3 linked regions of the Arabidopsis thaliana genome follow. The protein of the gene in region 2 interacts with the protein of the main gene of each other region in a pairwise test. Each region holds a gene or a part of one and is shown on either strand. Other genes may lie near its edges.

Region 1 (3,980 bases), on a different chromosome or scaffold from region 2:
GCTACTCCCTTTACAGATGTCACGGTAACTTGCATTTTCCTTAGCTGCTTAGTTAGCATTGGGCTTGGTATTATTAGTTTTGACCAATGTTGTGTCGTTAGGTGGATAATATAAGCAAAGCCCTTCATAAGTGTGGGTACCAAATGCGTGGATTTGAGAGAATGTACAATGGTCACACGGGCAGACCACTCACAGCTATGATATTCCTTGGACCAACATATTACCAAAGATTGAAGCATATGGTTGATGACAAGATTCACTCGCGTGGACGAGGTCCGGTGCAAATCTTAACAAGACAACCAGCTGAAGGGCGATCACGTGATGGTGGTCTCCGTTTTGGAGAAATGGAGCGCGATTGCATGATTGCACATGGTGCTGCTCACTTTTTGAAAGAGAGGCTGTTTGATCAGAGTGATGCGTATAGGGTACATGTGTGTGAAGTCTGCGGGCTCATTGCCATTGCAAATCTGAAGAAGAATTCTTTTGAATGCAGAGGTTGCAAGAACAAAACAGATATTGTTCAGGTAAACATAAACTGTTGTGCAAGTGGTTCATATTCATCTTTATCTCTTTCATGCTCATTTGTCTGATGTCATTTCATCTAAATATTCTCAGGTATACATTCCATATGCTTGCAAATTACTCTTTCAAGAGCTTATGTCAATGGCTATTGCACCAAGGATGCTCACTAAACACCTGAAATCGGCTAAAGGCAGACAGTGAGGAGCTTGCAATCTGATTTTGTAGAAACTTGAACTTTCCTTCTCTCTTGGTCATAGCTTTGTAACAATACTAAATTTACAAATTTGTGTAATATTTCTGTACTAATTCTTAAAGCTAGAAAGGTACCTTATAAGATATATTTATGGATTCTTTAGTAAATTTGCTGCTCCTAATTATTCTCATGGGGCATCCGTATGGGGATTCACTTTGTTTCCTTCTGCTTTCATCATCATTGTGCCTTATCGATGAGCTCAACATTGCGAAATCCATTCAATAGCTGTTTCAAACATTAATGATATCTTTTCTATGGTTTTCTCTATTCCTTCAATATTAGTAGCTGCAGCATATGCACTGAGACGAATACTAAGAGTAAATTGGTCAAAAGAGACTCCATTCTTCTCCATTTCAAGCATCAGATCATCTAATTTTCCATGCACATTCATCTGATTATACATATTCATCATACGATTGTAACAACGTGTGTCCATGGAAACACACGCTTCCTTCATGGCTTCCACAAGCTTCTCAGCTTACGATATTAGCAGCTAAGAAGACTAGAAAAGACCGCAATAATCTTTGGGAATGTTATCAAAGAAAACCTCTGCTTCTCCAAGTCCACAGACTCTTGATATCAAGTTTATGCGTGTACCAAAAGCTTGATAAAACATAGTTTTTTTTTTTTTTTTTCCTCAAAACATAGCTTTTATTTGAGAGTTAAAATGTTCAATAGAAAGATTCAGGTGTAAATTAGATAATAATAAAAGTTTTGAGGCTTAATATGCAATTATCATAAACTTTCAACCTTTATTTGTATTTTTTCATTTTTGTAAAGTCTCAATCTTTGACTATCTTCTTCGCCGGAACCGATGAATATACTGAGACGAATTCCGGCGAATTTGATTGCGAGCAGATATTACTACACTAACAGAGTAAAAAAGACGACACTTTACTCAAAAATCAGTCCTTTAGGAGACCCAAAATCAAGTGTTTACCCAGAACTCCAAAACTGGGTTCAATGCGGTAAAAAAGTCTCTGTTGCTGAACTTATTCGCATCGTTCACGATCTTCGTAGACGCAAACGCTTCCTCCACGCTCTCGAGGTAAGTAATTCTATACAAATCAAGTCTCTTTCCCTCTTTACACCGAGAAAAAAAACTAAACTTTAGAATTTTTCAAATTCAGGTTTCGAAATGGATGAATGAGACTGGTGTATGTGTGTTCTCTCCGACAGAACACGCGGTTCATCTTGATCTTATTGGTAGAGTTTATGGATTTGTCACTGCAGAAGAGTATTTTGAGAATCTTAAGGAACAGTATAAGAATGATAAGACTTATGGAGCTCTTTTGAATTGTTACGTTAGGCAACAGAATGTTGAGAAGTCTCTGTTGCATTTTGAGAAGATGAAGGAGATGGGTTTTGTTACTTCGTCTCTTACTTACAATAACATTATGTGTCTTTACACGAATATTGGTCAGCACGAGAAAGTTCCTAAGGTTTTGGAGGAGATGAAGGAAGAGAATGTTGCTCCGGATAACTATAGTTATAGGATATGTATTAATGCTTTTGGTGCTATGTATGATCTTGAGAGGATTGGTGGGACCTTGAGAGATATGGAGAGACGACAGGATATTACTATGGATTGGAACACTTATGCGGTTGCGGCTAAGTTTTATATTGATGGTGGTGATTGTGATAGAGCGGTTGAGCTTTTGAAGATGTCGGAGAATAGATTGGAGAAGAAAGATGGTGAAGGTTACAATCATCTCATTACGCTTTATGCTAGGTTAGGGAAGAAGATAGAGGTTTTAAGGTTATGGGATTTGGAGAAAGATGTGTGTAAAAGGAGAATAAATCAGGACTATCTTACTGTGTTGCAGTCGCTTGTGAAGATTGATGCTTTAGTTGAGGCTGAGGAAGTACTTACGGAATGGAAATCATCGGGGAACTGTTATGATTTTCGAGTGCCTAACACTGTGATTCGTGGTTACATTGGAAAAAGTATGGAGGAGAAGGCAGAAGCGATGCTTGAAGATTTAGCAAGAAGAGGGAAAGCTACTACACCAGAATCTTGGGAACTTGTGGCTACTGCTTATGCGGAAAAGGGTACTTTAGAAAATGCTTTCAAGTGTATGAAAACTGCCTTAGGTGTAGAAGTGGGTAGCAGAAAATGGAGACCTGGATTGACGCTGGTTACAAGTGTTTTGAGTTGGGTCGGGGATGAAGGAAGTTTGAAAGAAGTAGAAAGCTTTGTTGCATCTCTTAGGAATTGTATCGGTGTGAACAAACAGATGTATCATGCTCTTGTCAAGGCTGATATAAGAGAAGGCGGACGTAACATTGATACTCTGTTGCAGCGTATGAAAGATGACAAAATTGAAATCGATGAAGAAACCACAGTGATTCTCAGCACAAGAAGTCCATGCTAAAAGTTTCTTATTCTTCCTTGACGTGATGATACCAAAGATGTCTTCTGAGACAAGGATTTAGGAATGTGATTTCTTAACGGTTGAGTCTTCCTTCAGCAATACTTATTAGTACCAAATGTACCAAAATTTTATTTTGTTAAGAACACTCTCTAGACTCTGTTTTCATAGCATCTATAGAACAGTCTACAAGAGAATCCTCTGTTCTTTTTTCAAATGCAGTGTACTATCATATTGAATCAGCAGAAGGCAAAGTTAGAGCTTTGGCAATTTGGTTCCATTTTTATTGAAGTTTATATTCACTCTATAACAATTTGCTTTCCCACAAAACTGTAGATATTACACAACCTAAAACAGTTAAGAACAAGATAAATGAATTGTATGACAACAAAACTGTGTGTCTATATATGTATTGTCAAGAGTCATTGGTATTGTGTTGCTCACCAGCTTGTTGAAGCTCTACAACTTTCTCATATCCCACATATTCTCTGAATCTCTTTGGAATGAAACAACGACCACCGAATCTCTGCTGCAAGAAAATCAGAAACGCAAAGAGGAAACCGATGCAGAGGATAATAATATCCCATGCCGTAGAGTAATAATCCATTTTGTGGTTTGCATAAATGAATGACCAATCAAGAATCTTCCCGTAGCTGTGACTTCTATACAGATCATAAGCATGAGGAAGCAATCGAACAAAGCTGTTTCCAACGTAAAACAAAGCAGCAAGAGGCTTCAAGTCCGAGTTGCTGAAACCGTTGAAGAGTATTTGAGGAAGGAGGAATGCGTCAAGCATCAAACCTCCATAAGATTTTAGATCTTTCCACAAAGGA
Region 2 (5,853 bases):
TCTGTCAAGGGATTCTCTAGTAAAAGTGCTTCTTTGACGAGTCAGAATGAGAATTTTCCATTCATATGGTATTCTCCAGAAGTTCTAGAGGAGCAAGAACAGAGTGGAACTGCAGGAAGCCTTAAGTATAGTGATAAATCTGACGTGTATAGCTTTGGGATGGTTAGCTTTGAGCTTCTGACAGGTAAAGTACCATTTGAAGATAGCCACCTGCAAGGAGATAAGATGAGTAGAAACATTAGGGCCGGGGAGAGACCGCTTTTTCCATTTAATTCACCAAAGTTCATAACAAACCTGACAAAACGATGCTGGCATGCTGATCCCAATCAGCGTCCAACTTTCTCATCGATAAGCAGAATTCTCCGGTATATCAAACGGTTTCTAGCTTTGAACCCGGAATGTTACAGTAGTAGCCAACAAGACCCGTCCATTGCGCCTACTGTGGATTACTGCGAGATCGAGACAAAGCTATTGCAGAAGCTTTCTTGGGAATCTACAGAGCTAACCAAAGTTTCACAGGTTCCTTTTCAAATGTTTGCATATAGGGTTGTGGAACGGGCAAAAACGTGTGAAAAGGATAATCTCCGGGAACCATCGGAATCAGGAAGTGAATGGGCTTCGTGTAGCGAGGATGAGGGTGGGGCAGGATCAGATGAGCAGTTGTCATATGCCAAGGAAAGAAGATTGTCATGCTCCTCAAATGATGTTGGTATGAGCAAGAAGCAGGTTTCAAATCTTCTGAAAAGAGCTTCTAGCCTGAAACCAATTCAAAAACCAGGTGAGATTATCATCAGCCAATATATATATATATATATAGGCTCCCTAACAAATATGAACTTGGTTACTTGTACTAATTTTTTTGTTTTGTGTCACTAGCCTTTGGATTCTGTTCAGGGACAACTCCGAGAGGACGATCAAGGCATCCGCCACTAAGCCCTTGTGGTGGGCAAAGCATGAGAGCAAACTCTGAGAGTCAGCTGATATTGATAAGCCCAAGGATACGACGATCAAACTCTGGACATGCCTCTGACTCTGAGCTTTCCTAGTCTGCAGGGAAAAAGAATAGGTTCATAATAGCAAGTTCAAAATGCTGTACAAGTCAAAAGACATACTAACTCGTATGTGGTGACACACACTCCACTACATATCTATCGAAAACGATAAAATTCTTCTTTATTCAAAGTTTCCTACAGATACTACTAGGCTCGTATATTGTTCAGGCTAGTGACTGATTGATTCAGTAGCTACTAGCTACAATATTATCTTAAAGGAAACAAATCATATGAGGCAAAATTATGTGCCTAGACTGTAGAGGCTCAACGCTGAAGTGAAGTAAACTAGGCCTGCTCCACTATTTCTACAATCTATCAAACACCATCAAATTACACTAATCAAATTTTGGGCTTCGAATGTGGATAAAAACATCAAAAATAAGGAACCTTGACTAATCTGCCTGAAAATTACCTTAACAAAAAAGGGGAACAGCGATTCCGCCGGGGACTAGAGACATGGCGTGGTTCGGAGCTTTGGCTCTGTCTCTCGTCAATTTCAATATCTCCGCCACCGCCGACTCCGTCACATCCATCCTCCGACGCTTTTATTATGTCATTGATTGTGATATGACCAAAAAGTCCCCACTCTAGTTTTAGATGAATGAAGCTATGATTTCTTTTTTTTTTTTGGTGATAAGTACGTTATTATGATTTTAATACCAACAGATTTGTCAAATATAACATTATAAGCAAGTGGAGTAAACAAACTAAGCAGCTGATTTGTACAAAAAATACTTTACAGCTATAACATTTGTCATTGTCACCCTAATATAAAATACAATTCCAACAACTAAAATACATCTCTAAACTTTTTAAAGATGATGATGATGAAAAGAATTCAAGTTATGAGCACGTCTGGGAACATGGCACACCATCTATTTTGACAAGATAATATTATACAATACATGTATAAAATACGTACACATTCATCGTTATAAACTAAACCCACCATGGCCATGATGAATAGTGTGTGTAGTTCAAGGTATTGTTGGTTTTGGAGCAGCGAGACACAAATATATCAAAGACCTAATTTGGTACTTTAACTTTCACCTTTCAAATGCAGTTAAATTCGAATCGATCCAACCAATTCATTAGTTACTACTATTTTTATTTTGTTGCATTATTTTTGGTCGTCACGTTATCTCTTGGTCAACTTGACCTGGTAAGACTCATAGTTTCTAGATATGTCAAAATTCTTAAACTCCATTGTCGATCTAATTGTTCCTAGTTGGTAGATTCCCGGGAAAACGAAGCAAGAAAAGTAGAGCTATTGTTCGAAGTCTTTTGATTATTTAAATAAATTCCTCTGAAATTTTCACAAAACTCCTTTAATATTAAAAAATGGCTGCGTCAAAGAGACTAAAAGCTTGATTCTCACCGGAGACGAAGAAATTGCCCAAAAAATATTCATAATACTGACGCCGGAATCACTCTTCTTCGAGGTGCGTTTGATTTTCCTATATCTCTCTGTCTTGTCTTTCCCGTTTTGGATGCTGTGCAATCATGGAAACTCTTGAACTAGTCTCTAGGAAAATTTTAAGATTTGCTCTACCATGTTACTATTCGCGGATTGGAGAAGATTCGATTAGAGAATTTGTTGATAATTTCGGATTTTGTTTGAATTCAAGGATTATTATTTCTGTTGCAGTTTAAACAAGCAAAACCCTAGAAGCTGGTCTTCGTCGGAGAATTTTTGTTTTTTTTTTCCGATGAGGACAAGCGGTGACGTTTATGGAGCAGATACTGGTTCCTCAAGAAGTGATGAAGACAGAGGCTTTAAGGAGGATCTCAATGAATCCGCTACTAGCCCGATGAGAAATCGCCTAGACGATTCGAATTCACGACCTGGTTCTCAGAGATTCGTCAAGAGCTCGAGAAAGGAGGAAGAGACTGATTCAGATTCTTCTTCTTCTAAGAACACAACCACCAGAAACAACCCAATTCAGTACACTGATAAACAACAAGCCGAGCTTTTGAGAAAGCTTGATTCTATTAAAGATCATCTTCTCCGTGGTGGAGGTAATAATGCTACTGTTGTTGATCAGCCACCAATGGGTTTCCATGCCCATCATGGACCTCCTCCTTCTTATTACAATCCATACCCTGAGCCATTTCCTTATGGAATGTATCCTACCGCGAGTAACCAACCTCATGTTCCAGCTTATAGAGACCCTTATGGATTCCCAGTGCATAGGATACCTCAAAACTTTTATCAAGGACCAAGTCATTACCCTAATCAGATGCCGCCTCGTCCACCCTATCCTCAAGGACAGTATGTAGACATTGGCTCTGATATACTTGAGTCACAGTTACAGGACCCTAGATTCTTTCCGGGTACGCCAAGTAGGTATGGTGATGTCCCATTTAGCCCGGCTTTGCACCACGGTGAGAAAGTTGGACCCTTTAGTCCACATGGTGGTGTTCACACGAGGTGGCCTAGTGAAATTGATTCTGAAATGGGTGGTGCTTTTGCTCGTGGGTATGTTCAACAAGCTGTGTCTGATACTGATTCACGTCGTTGCCATCCTCTAGCAGGCGGTGCGCCTTTTATTGCTTGTCACAGTTGCTTTGAGCTGCTATATGTGCCTAAGAAGAAGCTTCTTGGTCAGGAAAGGCAACAAAAGATGCAATGTGGTGCTTGTTCTGAGGTTATCACGTTCAGAGTTGTTGATAAGAAGCTTGTTTTCTCATCTTCTGCCCTGGGGGAAACTACGAACCGGGTTTCTGTAGAGGTTGAAGATAGAAGCTCACCAATCCCTGTGGTAGATGATTATCCACTCAATGATGAAGAACCAAGAATACACCAGGAAACGAAAATTGTCCATGCTGTATCGCCTAGTGATCACTCAAACGATGAAGACAGGTCAAGCATTTCTAGTGAGCCGCGGAAACAGGTCGTCAAGTCTGTTCGCAGCAGAGCCCAAGGCGCGAAGGTTCCTCCTCCTCCTCCTCCGGAAAAGTCCAATCTTCTTGAGCTCTTTGAGTATTCTAATGTAAACCGAGCTGCAATCACTTACGGAATGGCGCAGTTAGGGTACTATAAGCAAGAATCATACACGAAACAAGACTCCCTGAAATCAGAATCAGTAGCTACTGAGACAGATGTTTCTTATAATGAGTACTATACTAACACCGAGGAGTCTGAAGATTCAAGGATCTCAAAAGCCAGCAAAGAAGGGAGACGACCAAGAAACCGAAAGCAGAGTAGTGAGCACAGTTTCGCAGAGGTCACAAATAATATCAGTTCTAACGACCAAAACAACGAGCAGCTAGAGGTTTGGGTGAATGGGTATCTGATACCAGAAGATCTGGTTATTAGCGCTGAGAAACAAGCTGGGCCAGTTCAAGCTGGCAAATACTGGTATGTTTGGGGTTACGTTTTGATAAATCTACGTCAAAAGAATTGATCAGTCGTTCAAGAAACCATCTTTATGTTATGATTCTGACCAGGTATGATTACCGTGCTGGATTCTGGGGAGTGATGGGAAACCCTTGTCTCGGTATAATACCAGTAAGAACTTTCACATCTCTTCTATATTGCTTTGAATTCCAGTACACTGTTTCATAATTCTTTGTATTGATTGGTACTTGATGAGGAAATGGGAAACAATTGTTGGTTGATGCAGCCATTTATAGAGGAGTTTAGTCGACCAATGCCGGATAACTGCGGTGCAGGAAACACGAGTGTGTTTGTAAACGGAAGAGAGCTTCACGAGAGAGACCTAGAGTTACTATCAAGTAGAGGTCTTCCTCGAGGCAAGAACCGTTCTTACATCATTGATATAGCAGGAAGAGTTCTTGATGGAGACTCTGGTGAAGAACTTAAGAGTCTTGGCAGATTAGCTCCAACGTAAGCACAACACAATTCCATGTAATCAAATTTTTACATCAATCATTTAGTTGATTCTGAAATTTTATGGTTGAAAATTGAATCAGGGTTGACAAGGTGAAGCATGGATTTGGCATGAGGGTTCCAAGATCATTAGTCTCGTGAAGCTTCGTCAGCTTTGTTTTGACCTCTCTGATTTGTAAATTATTCTTTGTGATTGATATATAACACATCTTTGCTTATATTCTGACCCAAAACTTATTTGCTATTCTGTTTTTGGGTTTAGTTTCTTTTTTGGGGGTTCTCTTACAATGTTCCATTCTTTCTCTTACTTTTTTTTTTTTTGTCTAAGAGATAAACCGTATGGTTTTATATCTTGTGATCTGGTTTATGTAAATTGATCATTTTTTATTGTGGATAACCTGTTGCCTGTTGGGAAATAAAATAATATTTGTTTGATTTTGTGACAAAAGATAAATGTATATATTTATAGATCTGTCCAGGCTGTGTGTACTTGTTAAATCGTTTTCAAGAAAGAAAACACACTGGTATGGTAGATCCAAAATCAACTTCAAGTAAGATGGGTCCACGTAGCAAATATTTAAAGCCCATGGAATAATTTATTCACAATGGGCCTCGTGGTCGTGGTGTACCCTACTCCATATAAAAAAACAGAGTCGATAATCTAGTCTGTCTAAAACGACTAATTCATGTCTAAAGATTAGTTTATGTTTTAAATCACCGAGAACTAATTCTACCGTCTAGATAGAACGATTTTTTTTTTTTCTCTAGATAGAACGTTTAAAACAAAATTAGCATGAAAATTACCACGGTTATCAGAAGACAAAATATATTTTTTCGTCTAATTAGATGTGTAAAGCATAAACTAGATACTAATTTATATACTCACAAGTAGTTTTAGTTACAAGTTTCAACCATTAAATCTAAGTGCGAGGTCTCTGTCTTTAGTTG
Region 3 (4,770 bases), on a different chromosome or scaffold from region 2:
TCAAAACTCATCAATTTATATCTAGAGGTAGAGTTATATATGTTGTAGTAGTTTCCCCTGGATAATAAATCAATGTGTCATCCCTGGTAAGTGTAAAGGACTGTCTTGTGGTAGGGTTATATACAACTACCTTAAAACCAGACAAACAACACATCAAACCGTAAACATACTGCGCCATTCTCCCAGGGATTGATAGTACTGCTTCTATGTCCGTATTTGGAGGATAAGTAGACGATAAGCCTAAGAAACATTCCACGTAAGGGCCTGAATCGAAGCCGAAGATGAAATGGGCATCATGAGGAGGCTGAGTCAAAAATCGAGTCACTATCGATTCTATGAAGTCTCTACGACTGCTGATAATGGATGACCACAGCTTCGAGACAGATTTGAACCTCAATAGTGCGATTTCGCCGGGAGTGTTTTTAGTCACTCCACTGTCAGTATTCAGAGGGATATCGATAACTCCGCCGTGAAGAAGTAGTGTCGGCGAGGGTGAGGTCTCGTTGCTATTCTCTTTGCGTCCTCTCGTCATCATCTCTGTTTTGTCAAACCTTAGACTAATGAACGAGGGCTCTCTATATAGTATATAGTATATAGAGTTTATTGCAAATAAGGCATTTGTCTTAGATATATATTTTATTTTAGGCACTTTTAAAATGATCTTTAGATTTAGGCACTTCTTTCCTGGGGAAAGTTGTTTTTACCCTTACAGAGAGATGATGTTGCTCTTTCTTTGTTGATGAACTTTTACGTTTTACACTAGAAATCAAAAATACTTGCGACCAACACCAACAACTTTGGAGTCATTGATTACAGAGTGATGTCAGCGACGATTGGAAATTCAGACGATTAACAATTGGTCCTCATGAGATGTGAATGCGATCTAGATTTTTAACATCCCACATTTTGAGATCTGGAAAAAACAACAAGAAACAAAAAAGTCCCACGATTTGGTATTACGATTTGCACGTTTTTTTGTTCAGTGATTTTTGTGCAGGTTAAGGAACTCAAGAAGTGATTGATACTTTGTTGATTGCTCAATTGATGTTCATAATCATGTCTACAAGTACATTGATTTTTGTTCATGTTAATGGTGTTTGATGATAATGAGGATGGTTGTAGTGTTGTGTTATTGTGTGTATGTAAGAATTGTAGACTGTATATTTGACGGTTTGGGTTTACAAGTCTAATTCTAGGGTATAGCGTTTACCATTGACGTCGTTCGTTACCCCTCGCCGTCAAAGCCGTGAACCACCACCAAATCTTTGTGCTACCGTCAAAGCTTCACGTCTACCGTCGAAGCTGCAAATCCACTATCTAAGCCATATATCTCTGAATGTCAAAAGAAACTTAAAATTGAATCAGAGATGGGGATGCATTTTTTAGAAGATAAACGCATTCTTTTCACCTCATTCTCAACTCCAGCTCATAGTTTAAGGGCAAAAATGTCCGTAACAATGAAAATTGGAGTTATTATATGCTTTTACTGTTGTTGTTTTTTACGGCAAAATAAGGTCATCCATTTAAGCTAAAAACGGGTCGGTTTTCTTCGAGAGAAAACTAGTTCGGAGTAGAAGAACTTACATGGGAAAAAATAGAATCTCGTGCTCTTGCCTTCTTACCAAGACAATCAGCACGGACATTGTTTAGAGTCTCTGTTTTGAAAGAAATGTTTTCAAAATGCTTGTTTAGAATATAAGCTCTATATAGTATACCTACACATGTTATCGTGGGTCCAAATAGAAGAGAAAAACTATATTTAAAAAATTAAAATTATATGAGATATTTATTTTCAATGAAAAGGAGAAAAATAAAAAATAAAGAAGGAAAAAATATAAAGTTTCCTTTCCCTCTCGTTCGTTGGCTTTGCCTTCCCGAGAGAGAAAGATAAGATTTGGTTTTGCATTCCTCTTCTCTCTCGCCGCTCTCAATATGCTTCGATTTCTATTCTCCTCTTCCTCTTGATTTTGTCTTCTTCTCTTTGCTGCGGAGAGATTAAGAAACCCAAGGGTTTTAAGCAAGAGACGCGGCGAGGAAGCTATCCAGAACTCTCTGAAACATCCATTCCTTTTTCTCATGGACGTAGTGTTGCCGGAAACTGCCGTGGTAACCGGTGGTTCGGTTATCGGAGATTATGGATTTAATGTGGATCCTTTTCTCGTTGAGGCGTTGCACAACTCTCGCCATCGTCTCACGAGTATGCTCCGTTTCTCTTCTTTTTTTTGTTCTCTGATTCGTGTCGTTTAACCTTATTTCCTGAAATTAGAGCTGATTTTTGTCATCTGGATTAACAAATTTGAAATTTTGATTGGTGGTCTTATCTGAATTTAGCTGGGTATAGTTAGGTTAATTTAACCGCAATTTGGGGATTTTGGGTTTCTCAGGAACTGGCTCTCTTCTTAGATTTGCGATTATGTTGATGCCCATGCTGAATTTAGCTCTCTTCTCTGCACTGTATTATCCATGGTTAATGTTATCAAAGATGTAAACTTTTATTCTGTCCATGGTGTTCAACATTTATAGTTGCTTACCTTTTGTGTGGTTTATGTGGAACTGCTTGTGGTACATATATCTCCTTTATCTGGTAGTAGCTTAGCTTTTGTGTGGTTGTGTGGAACTGCCTGTGGTGTGTCCTGGCTTTTGTGTTTCTTGCTACTGTAACTAAGCCTTTTGTTTTGTTTCTCTTGTTGTGTTAGTTTTGCGGATGGAACTTGATGTTCAAAGGTTGTTGCAGAACCCTGAACAGCAGCAGTTTGAGTTCCAGCATTTTCCTACTTCGTATCTTCGTCTTGCAGCCCATCGTGTTGCTAACCATTATGGGCTAGCTACAGCTGTCCAAGAGAGTGGTGCTGATGGAAATGAAAACAGAATCCTTGTGACGAAAACTACAGAGAGCAAATTTCCTGCTGTTCGGTTGTCTGAAATCCCGGTGGCTAAACAATCAGAAAATGGTAAGTTTGAGAGCAGGAAAGTTTCCATCAAGACTCGACCTTCTAAAGGATCTGGATATGGCGCTGGTGATCTGGAAAAGAATCGTGGTCCTCTTAGAAGTGTTGAAGAGAGGAAAGAAGAGTATGACAAGGCTCGAGAACGCATATTCAGTGGTCTTACTGGTCTTAGTTGTGATGACTCTTCATCTGAAACTCAGGTGTATGAGAGGAATGCAAGTCTTAGCAGAGATGACAAGCAAGTATCTAAGAATGCTTACGTTGAGGTCAAGAAGAACTTAAGCATCAGGGAAAGTGGTCCAACATCTCGTGTTGCAATATTTAGAGACAGAGAGAAAGATCGGTTTGACCCTGATTATGACCGCAGACACCAAAGGTGAGTAACTCAGCTGTTAGTTTACTGGCTAAACCATTACTATACTAGCGAAAAAGTTTCATACATGATGGTTGATGATAATTGTGTGTGTCAATGCAGGTACATTAGGAGCCTTCCGGTGAATCAGAACTTCAATCTACCACCCTTCAACATTCAGCAAATACCGACACCATACTACGAAATGGGATTCACTGGATATAACCAAATTCCAAGTCCTCCTGCTCCTCTTGGCTTCGGACCACATCCTAGCTCAATCATGAGTCCCTATGGCACCACAATGGATGCAATGTATATGCATTGGCCTAATGCAGCTATGATGTATGCTCATCCGTATGAGCAGTTCAGGAATGGCTCTCTTCAGGTAAATAACATTGATCCTTTTTACTCTCTTTGAGCGATCATGGAATAAAAACTTTTGTCCAAATATAAGGACCATATATTGAAATTTTTTCACCCACATGTTTAATATATACTTATGCATAGCTGAGAACTCGTTAAGAGAAATGGATTCTATTAAAACTCTTCCAAAAACAAATGAAAAAAGCAATTGAGTTGGTTTGGTGCATTGTTTCCAATGATTGTCTGAAAGCAGTTGTAACTTGTTTCTCCAGGCACAGTTCGTTCAACAACCCTTGAGCTTCGACTACATGCAGAACCGCTAGGTGCTTGCCTCTTTGTCGATCTTTATCTCTGTTTACCATTTTTTTTTGTAGAACCTAGGAACTGTTGTAATGGAAATTTTGGAGTTGTAATGTCAAAATTCAGAATGAAGAGACCTTTTGTTCCTTTTACAATTATCAGATTCTGTCTATTATGGAAAACCAATGAACTACCTGTGGGTCAAATCTTCATCGAAATTCTCTGTTTTGAATTGAATGTCTTCCAAATCTGCAAAAGCTGTCCTTTAGGTTTGCATTACACAAGATAAATAATCAGCCTTCCAAATCTTTACATTCATGTTATTTGTTCCGTTGATTCGTACAAGTCTGTGAGACGCAACAAAAAAACAATATCTAGTTTAAACAAACACAATACGTACGTTAGTGATGGAGAATTTCCAAAGTTTGCTGGTTTCAACATTTGTTTACGAAGCAATGTGGCGGCGAAGAAACATGGCAACTGATCTCAATGGTGTCCTGGAAAAGTAACAGCATCAAAGTGAGTGTAACTTACAACTTCAAATAGCATAGAGATCAGAATGGATAATAGAGATATATATTACCATAGAGATCGGCTTTTGTTTCCTGGTTGTGTAACCTCCTCTTCTCTTTGTGGGTCTGTATGGACAAGTCTTTGGAATTTTTCAGACAGTGCTTTGTAAGACAGAATCTCTGTTGGTTCGATTTGGCTAATCGCAGCTTTTAAATGTCGCATGCTTATTTCCTCCATTTCAAGACTCTCCTGATTGATAAAAGGATGTGAGACACTTGCAACAAATTTCAGGCT

What was found. The genes of interacting proteins can lie anywhere in the genome.
Region 1: the proteins of AT1G01440 (region 2) and AT4G21705 interact in a two-hybrid assay, tested with the Arabidopsis thaliana proteins (one large-scale study listed by BioGRID).
Region 3: the proteins of AT1G01440 (region 2) and AT3G56680 interact in a two-hybrid assay, tested with the Arabidopsis thaliana proteins (one large-scale study listed by BioGRID).

What each region holds. Positions count from the first base shown.
Region 1 is NC_003075.7:11,532,427-11,536,406, reverse strand, and holds AT4G21705 (Tetratricopeptide repeat (TPR)-like superfamily protein), read left to right. Parts: upstream 1-1,539; 5' UTR 1,540-1,589; coding exon 1,590-1,823; intron 1,824-1,905; coding exon 1,906-3,150; 3' UTR 3,151-3,436; downstream 3,437-3,980. Other genes in the region: NRPB2 (DNA-directed RNA polymerase family protein), read left to right, coding at 1-24, 102-524, 616-723; AT4G21700 (DUF2921 family protein, putative (DUF2921)), read right to left, coding at 3,563-3,980.
Region 2 is NC_003070.9:159,128-164,980, reverse strand, and holds AT1G01440 (hypothetical protein (DUF3133)), read left to right. Parts: upstream 1-2,027; 5' UTR 2,028-2,494; intron 2,495-2,700; 5' UTR 2,701-2,761; coding exon 2,762-4,413; intron 4,414-4,502; coding exon 4,503-4,563; intron 4,564-4,678; coding exon 4,679-4,902; intron 4,903-4,988; coding exon 4,989-5,046; 3' UTR 5,047-5,353; downstream 5,354-5,853. Other genes in the region: AT1G01450 (Protein kinase superfamily protein), read left to right, coding at 1-876.
Region 3 is NC_003074.8:20,989,461-20,994,230, forward strand, and holds AT3G56680 (Single-stranded nucleic acid binding R3H protein), read left to right. Parts: upstream 1-1,819; 5' UTR 1,820-2,076; coding exon 2,077-2,197; intron 2,198-2,696; coding exon 2,697-3,324; intron 3,325-3,423; coding exon 3,424-3,685; intron 3,686-3,935; coding exon 3,936-3,986; 3' UTR 3,987-4,226; downstream 4,227-4,770. Other genes in the region: AT3G56670 (F-box/associated interaction domain protein), read right to left, coding at 131-535; CIP111 (Cam interacting protein 111), read right to left, coding at 4,409-4,460, 4,547-4,725.